Linked DNA regions of Kluyveromyces lactis. The protein of the gene in region 1 purifies or fractionates together with the protein of each later gene. This does not show direct contact. Links are inferred from orthologs where the notes say so. Each region holds a gene or a part of one and is shown on either strand. Other genes may lie near its edges.

The links.
Region 2: the proteins of VPS8 (region 1) and VPS3 purify together in Saccharomyces cerevisiae (affinity purification with western blotting; 6 studies listed by BioGRID, with this or other methods). This does not show direct contact. The link is inferred for Kluyveromyces lactis from reciprocal best matches to the Saccharomyces cerevisiae genes VPS8 and VPS3.

The regions. Positions count from the first base shown.
Region 1 is NC_006039.1:1,631,388-1,635,906, reverse strand, and holds the start of VPS8 (CORVET complex membrane-binding subunit VPS8), read right to left. Parts: upstream 3,117-4,519; coding exon 1-3,116. Other genes in the region: EFB1 (translation elongation factor 1 subunit beta), read right to left, coding at 3,466-4,009, 4,300-4,379. UniProt on the Saccharomyces cerevisiae protein: Required for localization and recycling of the CPY sorting receptor (VPS10) to the late-Golgi compartment. Involved in the retention of proteins to the late-Golgi. Plays an integral role in the complex vacuolar protein sorting process.
Region 2 is NC_006039.1:1,049,647-1,054,218, forward strand, and holds VPS3 (CORVET complex subunit VPS3), read left to right. Parts: upstream 1-1,665; coding exon 1,666-4,284; downstream 4,285-4,572. Other genes in the region: PUF6 (pumilio-family RNA binding domain-containing protein), read left to right, coding at 1-1,455; mitochondrial 37S ribosomal protein mS46 RSM28, read right to left, coding at 4,373-4,572. UniProt on the Saccharomyces cerevisiae protein: Required for sorting and processing of soluble vacuolar proteins, integrity of vacuolar morphology, efficient segregation of vacuolar material into the bud during the cell cycle, acidification of the vacuolar lumen, and assembly of the vacuolar H(+)-ATPase.

The DNA.
Region 1 (4,519 bases):
AATACTTTCTGCAAACTTTTATCACAAAACGCTTTTTGATCATCGGTAAGAGTTGGGTATTGAGAGACCAAGTTTGATATCAATTTAACCCAGTTCTTGTTAGTTTCATCTGTCTTCTGGGATACACTGATGCCTAAATCCAAATAATTATCAATTTCGTCAAAATCATTATTTTGTAATAACTCGTTGATTTTCGAGTTTATTTTATCTATTGCCGACCCATAGTTCTTTAGCCGTACTAGCAATCGTATCAAAGTTCTCGAATCCCTATTTCCGTTAATAATATCTACAATACTCTCAACTTCGATGTTTTTAAGGTCAATATTGTCAACCCATTGTGATACACCGGACGCATCTCCGGTTTCATACAACAATGATAGATACTTCGGCCTTGCTTTCTTCAAAAATGGGGCAGATAGATGATAGTTCCCAGACAGAAGTATACGAAGATATCCTAAGAGCGTCAACGGATCAGAAATAAGAAGAATTTTTTCATGTAAGCTACTATCAAAAGAGTCTATGATTGAGACAAGGGAACGCTGATCTTGACAATTTTCGATAATCTTCGGAAATGTATCTGATAGAAGGTCGCAAATTTCACTTCGACCGATAGGCGATTTCGCTGTAGCACCATCACATAGTTTCAAACCTGCAATAATATCATTGCCATTCGTATTCCTGTGTTGATCGCTAAGAATAAAGGTAAGATAATCTGTATATCTTCCGGCCTTTTTATATAGCAGAAGCCGAACACGATAAAAATCCACTCCTGACATTTTATCAATTAGGGCGTTAATATTATCTGGTGAATAAACAGACAATAGTGCTTCAAGACAATCTTCAGAAATTTGTTCAAATCCTTCCAAATCAGCAGATAATATGACGTCTATTTGTGAGTCAATGATAGTGTTGGTTAGGCGAATAAACTGAGAATACTTTGGCAAATTGTTGAACACAAAGAGGGCAATAAGAAGTTTCACATGATTTTCTTTGAAATTCTTCTGTATGTCCAAAAGAACATCAATTATATGTTGTCTAGTAAAATGAAATCCATTTTGAGGGGATTCATTGAACAGAACATCTTCAAATGAGACATCAAGAACGTGCAAGAAATTTTGCGCACTTGATGATATTAAAAGGGAAGCATATGGAAAGGCTGGTTCTTCTGCTGGTAGGGGACACGTTAAAAGCTTTTTTCCAGAGCCTTGTGGCCATTCCAAAGAAGAGCCACTAAAAAGTAAGCTGTAATAAAAGTTCTTTAGGTATAGAATCTTTTTGGAAGGCACTCTTTTTTCTGTTGGATAAACTTTTCCCAATAAAGTTGATTCGATGTACTCGAAAAGGGTATTATCTTCAATGTTAGCATCAAAAACTACACAACATTCTTCTTTGCCAGCAAAGTAAAATATTATATCCACTAGGGGACTTTTATAATCATCCAAAATGGTTGTCCAGAGATATAAAAGTGCAGAGTAGAGACGAAACTCTTTGCAAACCTTGAAAGCATAATCCAAATCCAAAGTTGTACCGTCTAGCGATAATAAAATTGTCTCTAACCTTCTATCATTTCCTGAAGACACTGTGTATTCCATCACAGCCTTGAAAAGTATTGGTGAGAGGTATGTTACTGTCCCGTTAACGATTTTTTCGTAAAGTATTTCTTGAAATTCTTCGTTATGTTTGGTCATCAAAGCTTCCCCTACCTGTTCTAAAAGCACATACATCTTTTCATCTGAGAAAATACTTCCCAAGTCCAAAATCAATGATGTAGCTTCAGTGACCTTACTGTAACTTATATCATCTTTCTTCAGTAAAAATTGAACAGTTGCTAGTGTCAAGTTGTTAAACGATGGTTCAATTTGTCTGATTCTTTTCTGATAGTCTTTTTCCAGATGTAATAAGGCGGTTATCGAATCGAATGATGGACCTTGTAAATAGTAACCTAGGGTTCCTAATGCATTAATGTAATCTCCTTTATGTATATGGTGTAAGACAATATCGGACCATGAGTTAATTTTCCCCACCATTAAACTGTAATTGGTGAGCACAACAATCGTGTTATTTAACGTAGCGAAATGGTTCTCAGATTCTGGAACCATCAGTTCATGAATAAGTAAGTCAATACTAGTGAGTACAGGATCCTCATCGGTATCAACACTACCTATGTTTAAAACGAGAAGCTTACTTGACAAGAGCAAAATAGTCAAAATGTTATTTGTGAGCCAGGCAACTTTACAAATGCATTCAGGAGCTTCGTACGTCCATTGTAAAGTCGGAAACCTGATATCGACAAGGCTCAACTGGTTATCTACAGAGAAGGCAACCTGATTTGGATTGACGTCATTCCAGGAGATATATCCAAAAGTGGCCGAGTTTTTGTGTGACAATTCAATGAGCCGATAAGTTGATAAAGTTGGCGATGACAATGATATGACTGCGAAGGATCGATTAGATAAAACTGCTAACAGATGTTCAGCATCATAATCTTCACCGTTGCTTCGAATGCGCGTAGTCAATAAAGGGTTTATCATTGGATTCAGCCTCAAGATTTCTTTTGCACTAGGTACCAATTGCCAAAGATGATTTCTAGTACCCTTGTGAAGTACAATATGTCCTGTAGAATCACTGACTGCAATATTGGTATGTTTCCCCGGGATAAAATTAAGACCATTAAAGGAATGTCCTCTATGAGAAGCAATATGCAGCACGGCTTCTAGATGATTAGAATCGGAATTTTCATCGACTTGAGAGTTTAAGTCCCACAGGAATATATCACCGGATTCATAGGCTGCGCAAACATGGGTACCATCCTGATTTATATCGATAAATGTTACCTTGGATCTAAAATCTGGTAAAGATGGTGCTAGTACAGATTGAACGAATTGTTTCTTGTTAAAGATAACAACGGCTCCCTTTGCCGTACCTATGATATAGTAGAGCTGAACCGGAAGAATGAAAGTAGGTCCCCCATAATATGATAAATTCGGATACACTTGTTGCAATGAAGTCCAGCTTACATGCAGGGATTCATCCTGAGAGCTCTTAAAGGGATTAAACTTTTCGAAATCGGTTGTGTTGTTTCTCTTATCGTGGCCAGTACTATGAGAGCCATTCATTTGAAACTTGAATCTTGCTGGCAATTGACAAACAGGTAATCGAAAACTGTTTTAACCGAACTTAGACCGTAGGGCTTCTGTTGCCTTTCCTGTTTTTTTTTCTCATATTTTACCTTAAATGCAGCATGATGTTTAATTAATTATCTATATGCATTTATATTATGCACATTTCTATTCTTAAGATGCTCAGAGGCTGTAAACCTAAAAGAAAGATGAACATAACAGGATAAAAGAGACAGCAAGGGTTCGGGTCCAGCAAGAAAGCACGAAGGGGGTCGTTGAGAAATATAGTATATTTATTTATTCATTTATGTAAGGGGAAAAAGGTGAAGAACTTAAATTAGTTTAATTACAACTTTTGCATAGCAGCAACATCAGTAGATTGGACGTGGTCTTCATCTTCTTCGATAAGTTGTTGCAATTCATCAAGAGAAACCTTAGCATCTTCGATGACCATGTTAATTTGCAACTTCTTGATACCGAAACCAATTGGAATCCATTGGTGAGCACCCCAGTTCAAACCATCCATTTCGATGTTCTTAACGTTGGCAACCAATTCTTCCAAATCGGTTTCGTCATCCCATGGCTTAACATCCAAGGTAACGATAGACTTAGCAGCAGCCTTTGGCTTAGCAGCCTTCTTTTCGTTGTATTCAGCGATTCTCTTAGCCTTCAATTGTTCAGCTTCTTCATCGACATCATCGTCAGAACCGAACAAATCGACTTCGTCATCGTCATCTTCTTCTTCAGCAGCAGCTGGTGTAGAAGTAGCAGCTGGCAAGGATTCGAATTGATCAGCCTTGGAAGCAATGTGGTTGAACCATCTAGAGAATTCTGGGTAAGTAGATTGGAAAGCCTTGAAAGCAGAGACGTCAGCTTGAGTAGCAGAGGTACTATATTGATGCAATTGTTAGTTAGTAAAATGGAAAGAACAAAAAAATGAAATTTTTTTGTATGGCAGCTAAGCTTGCTTGCTGAAAAGAGAATTCAATAAAAAAGATAAATCAGAATCGTACTGTCTAGGTACTGTCTCTTTGTCACTCATACCGGGGGTCTTACTTCCCGTCATAAACACGGACCAAAGAATTTGTTCATCATTGAAATAGTAAACTTTGAAGAATTCTCTTATTCAAAAAACTGCTTGATGCCATTGGAAAACCACCACTATAATTATTTCACATACCCTTCAATGTAAGACTTGTCAGCCAAGAAAGTGTTCAACTTTTGCAAGGTTTCGACCTTGGAGAAATCAGAGAAAGACATCGTTAATGGATAGTTAAACCTGGTGAGAGAAGAAACTAGGAAAGAATCAATTCCTCTTCTTCTTCTTACAAGGAACGTTGAATCAAATTGACGAAAAAAAAATACTGAAAAGCTGATGAAAAACTCTAATTCGAAAAGTT
Region 2 (4,572 bases), about 580 kb from region 1:
GTCCAGACATTAGTCAAATATTCTTCCAAAGAGCGCAGAGAACAGATCACGTTGGCATTGAAAGATAAAATTTATGTTTTGGCCACATCATCATATGGTAAATATTTGTTGGTTAAATTGTTACATTATGGTTCCCGAAAATCTAGACAAATCATAATCGATCAACTACATGGTAATTTGAGAAAACTAATGAGACACCGTGAAGGTGCCTATGTGGTCGAAGATTTGTTTGTTCTTTATGCCTCTCAAGAACAAAGAAATCAAATGATCAGAGAATTTTGGGGTTCAGAATACGCCGTATTCAGAGAATCTCATAAGGAACTTACGCTCGAAGAAGTTTGTGCTTCCAGCGTAGAAAAGAGAAATATTATCGCTAGAAACTTGATTGGTACCATCACTGCTTCTGTTGAAAAAGGTTCGGCAGGTTTCCAGATTTTACACGCAGCAATGAGGGAATACGTCAAAATCGCCAACGATAAAGAAACATCTGAGTTCATCGAACTTTTAGAAGAGAACTTTGCGGAATTAGTGCATACCCCAGAAGGTGCAGAAGTTGCATCTACTTTAATCGCTAAAGCAAATGCCAAAGAAAGAAAGGGGTTGATAAAGACCTTGAAAGAACATGCAATCAAGTTAATTCAAAATGAACACGGTGCCGTTGTTTTCATAACTTTATTAATGACAGTCGATGATACTGTTCTCGTCTCCAAGGCATTTTCCCCACCAATTAAGGAACATCTTCCAGAATTGATTGTTGATAAATTTGGTAGGAGGCCGCTCTTATTCCTACTTTTAGGATTAGATGGTAAATACTTCGGTCCAAATATGAAGAATGAACTACAAAGATACATTAAGATGTCGGAAACTACTTCCAAGAAGCCATTTGACCAAAGAAGACTTGAATTATTAAAAAGGTTCGCACCAATGATTTTATCTGGCGTAAACGAACACTACAAAACCATTCTAGATGAAAACATCGGTTCTCAATTTGTCGCAGATTTACTCGTTAACGATGATGTCTATGAACAACTTTCAGAGTCTGATCAAAAGTTGTTTGCCGAGCTTGTGGACACCGTCGCCATTTATTTCAAAGGTGACATTTCAGAAGAAGACCACCCTATTAACAAACCATTTTCGGCAAGGTTGCTAAAGTCTCTCATTCAAAATGGTAGATACAACGTGAAAGCAAGAAAACTAGAACCTCTAGAAAAAGTTCAGGGACTTGGTATTCCATTTGCTGAAAAATTTTATGAAGACATCATTGATTCCAGCAACCTACTCGATTGGATCAACAAACCCAACAGTTCTTTTACCATTGTGGCATTGTATGAAGCCTTACATGGGACTGAAGAAGGGGAACAATTCGATCATGATTTGAAAAAAGTGATCAAGAAAATAGAGACGAACGATTCAAACAAGGGTGCTCAACTACTTCTAAAGCTAATGAAGCATTGAGTATGTATAGTCAAGTCGTTATATAGTTTGGCTCTAAAATATGTATATTAAAGATGATATAGCTTCTCATCATTGTGGACGAAGGACGTTCTAGTCTACTATTAAGATTCACACTTCCTTAAATGAGACTATCATCTGCGAACCAGAGATAATACAGCTAAGAACATTTATTCCTCAATTCACTAATTACAGCAGTGGCATTGATGGCTTATGAATGACGATACTAAAGAGAAACCCATTTCAACTGCCTTTGAAGTAACCGATGGATTATATGCTGTTTCACCATTAATCGAGAATGTGCCTCATGAATATGAGTACTCATGTATCGAATATTATGGTCAGCACATCTACCTGGGCTCGACTTCAGGAGCGTTACTACACTATTATGAATTAGATGTTGGAAATTTCACACTGATCTCGGAAGTCAACTTCAATGAAGACAGACCAACAGGAATTGATGGCATAACGCTACTGCCGAAAATTGATAGAGCCTTAGTGTTGTCCGAAGGGAGACTCAAAATGTTTCTCCTGCCTGAATTTGCACCTGCTTCAAATATACCAAGTATTATGAATATAACAGAACTTTCACTTTTGGAGTTCTGTGAGAAAACACAATGTTACTCGTGTTTCTTATACACGAAGAACTTGGTAAAGCGAGTAAGCATAACAAGCAAAGAGATAAAAGTCGAACAGAAGTATAACATCAAGAGAATTAGAAAGGCCATTCCTTCAAAAGACGCAAAACTCCTTATGGCAGCTGTTGATAACTCTTACTCGATAATCCATCTTGAAAATGAGCTGGTAACTCCTTTATTCAAAGTGTCTGAGACAGATGATGAGGAACTCTCACCAATTGTGACAAATTTTGGAAAAAGTGAATATATCGTCACATGTGGAATATCAAATGACCAAAACTGTATGGGACTTATATTAAACGATGATGGAGAAATCACTCACGGTACCGTGGTTATAGAAAATTATCCACTCACAGTTATAGTTGATAATCTGTATGTGCTATCAGAATTACATGGTTCTAAATGCCTTCAAATTCATTTAATAAAAGAAAACAACGACCCAGTAGTTATACAAAATGTTAGAAATCAAACCCCGTTTCATATTACAAAGTTGCAGACTCCTTTCATAACGAGACAGTTTAATAAAGAATTAATTGAAAAACTAAGATATGTCCCTTTAATTGCAGAAGAACTCCAATTTCGAGAAGAACAAGAAAAAGCATATGTGGCCAGACAAATTGCGGTTGAATGCCACATGATTATCTACGGAAAATGTGGTATATATTCTTTATGCCGAAAGCCATTTCTACTCACCATTTCGAGCTATGGCGAAGATACTCTTCCAATTTTGAAGTCTTTCATCACTGAAGAGTCACAAAGCAATTACCAGCTTCTTCAAAAAAGCTACTTGCAGTTCCTTTATGTCTTGCTGTTAACATTACATATGGAACACATTGATAAAGATTTAATCGATGCCTGGCTCAAATATATTGATGTTGCAGATATCAGAGTATTAATTTACCTACTTGGTTTCGACATTTACGGAGATTTGTGGATTCCTAATGGGTTATTAGCATTTTCAAAAAAATTGCATTCATTGAAGCTAGTTCACAAGTGTAATGACGTTCTGAACATCATACAATACTTGAAATTTCAACTAAAAGAAACGTGTTCCGATAGCTTAAAAGATAGTGCGAACGTTTATTTATCGCTCGATTTAATTCTATTACGTGATAACATCGCTAAAGGCAGTTCAAATGTTGATGAATACGAGGCGACTAGTTACCAAGAAATTGCTAAAGAGCTTTCTAAGCATAAAAAAGAACATTCAGAAACTTTAATAGCCATATATGAAAAGACAAAAGAAGTGACCCCATTGCTCGAAATACTAAGACAAACAGATCAAAAAAGGCTCATAAATTACCTGAATACTCATTTCCAAGAGCTACCCGATACTTACTCTAAAGAAATGCTGACTGATGATATTTCATCAGCTTTGAAAGATTATAACGATGACACTGTAAGCGACGTTTTACAATTAATAAACAATTTAAACTTAGATGTGAAAAGACTCATCTCATCCATCGAAGACCCTGATACAAAGGTTCTCTTGCTTGAAAAACTGGGTGCGAGTTCCACCCAAGATTTGACATTTCTTTACGAGTACTATAAAGCTAAACTTACTGTTTTGAACAGCAAGCTAATAGAAAGTTCCAATTTACCAATTACGGAGTACATTACCAACATGACATATAACAAGTCTCCTTTCAAAGAGTATTTGAAAAATAAGCTGGGTGAGAAAAAGGAATATGAGGGTTGCTTCGATGTAGGGACCAAGCTTCTGAAAATAGAAAAGGCTTTAAATATAAAAGAAGGTTCTATTATTGATGATATCGATGCTTCTTTCGTTCTACGAATCATGATCACAGATATCAGTGTATTAAAGGAAAAGATCGGGTTCGAAAAACTACTTGATATATATTTATCACGGAATGATTTTGCTACGGTGGAGTCCTTGTTACAAGCCAACGATAAGGTAGTGCTGAAAGTTATCGATCACTATCTAAGTCTCAACAATACTAGGGTCATTAGTCAATTCCTTAACAAGAATACGTGTTGTATAAACGACTCTGGGCTACTTATAGAAATTTTGGAAAAAATACCCCCAACCATTCAAATATCAGTGTTATCGGGTTTCCTATTTCCGTTACTCAGACGAAAAGACGAATCAACATATAATCTACAGATTAAGAAAGGAATTTTAAGGCATCGTACTCAGAATATAAACAATATCGAACGTTGTTTAGAACTGTGAAATAGTGTGATATATCATTAAGTGCATTGTGAAAATATATACATGAAAAATAGAGGTTAATCTTGTCTATAGGCGATCTGGCTTGTAATCAAGCTGTCAATTCAGAGACTGGTGCCAAACCGGAACAGACTTTTTGCAAAAGTTCTTTTTCAGTTGAAGCCAAGTTGCTTTGTTCTAAACTCTTTCTCACAATTTCGCTATTTTGCAGAAGTTGCTCTCTTTTGTCTTCTGCTTTTGTTAGTTTGGCAAAGTCCTTCTTTGTGTATGGCTTGAGAATGTGGAAACTAC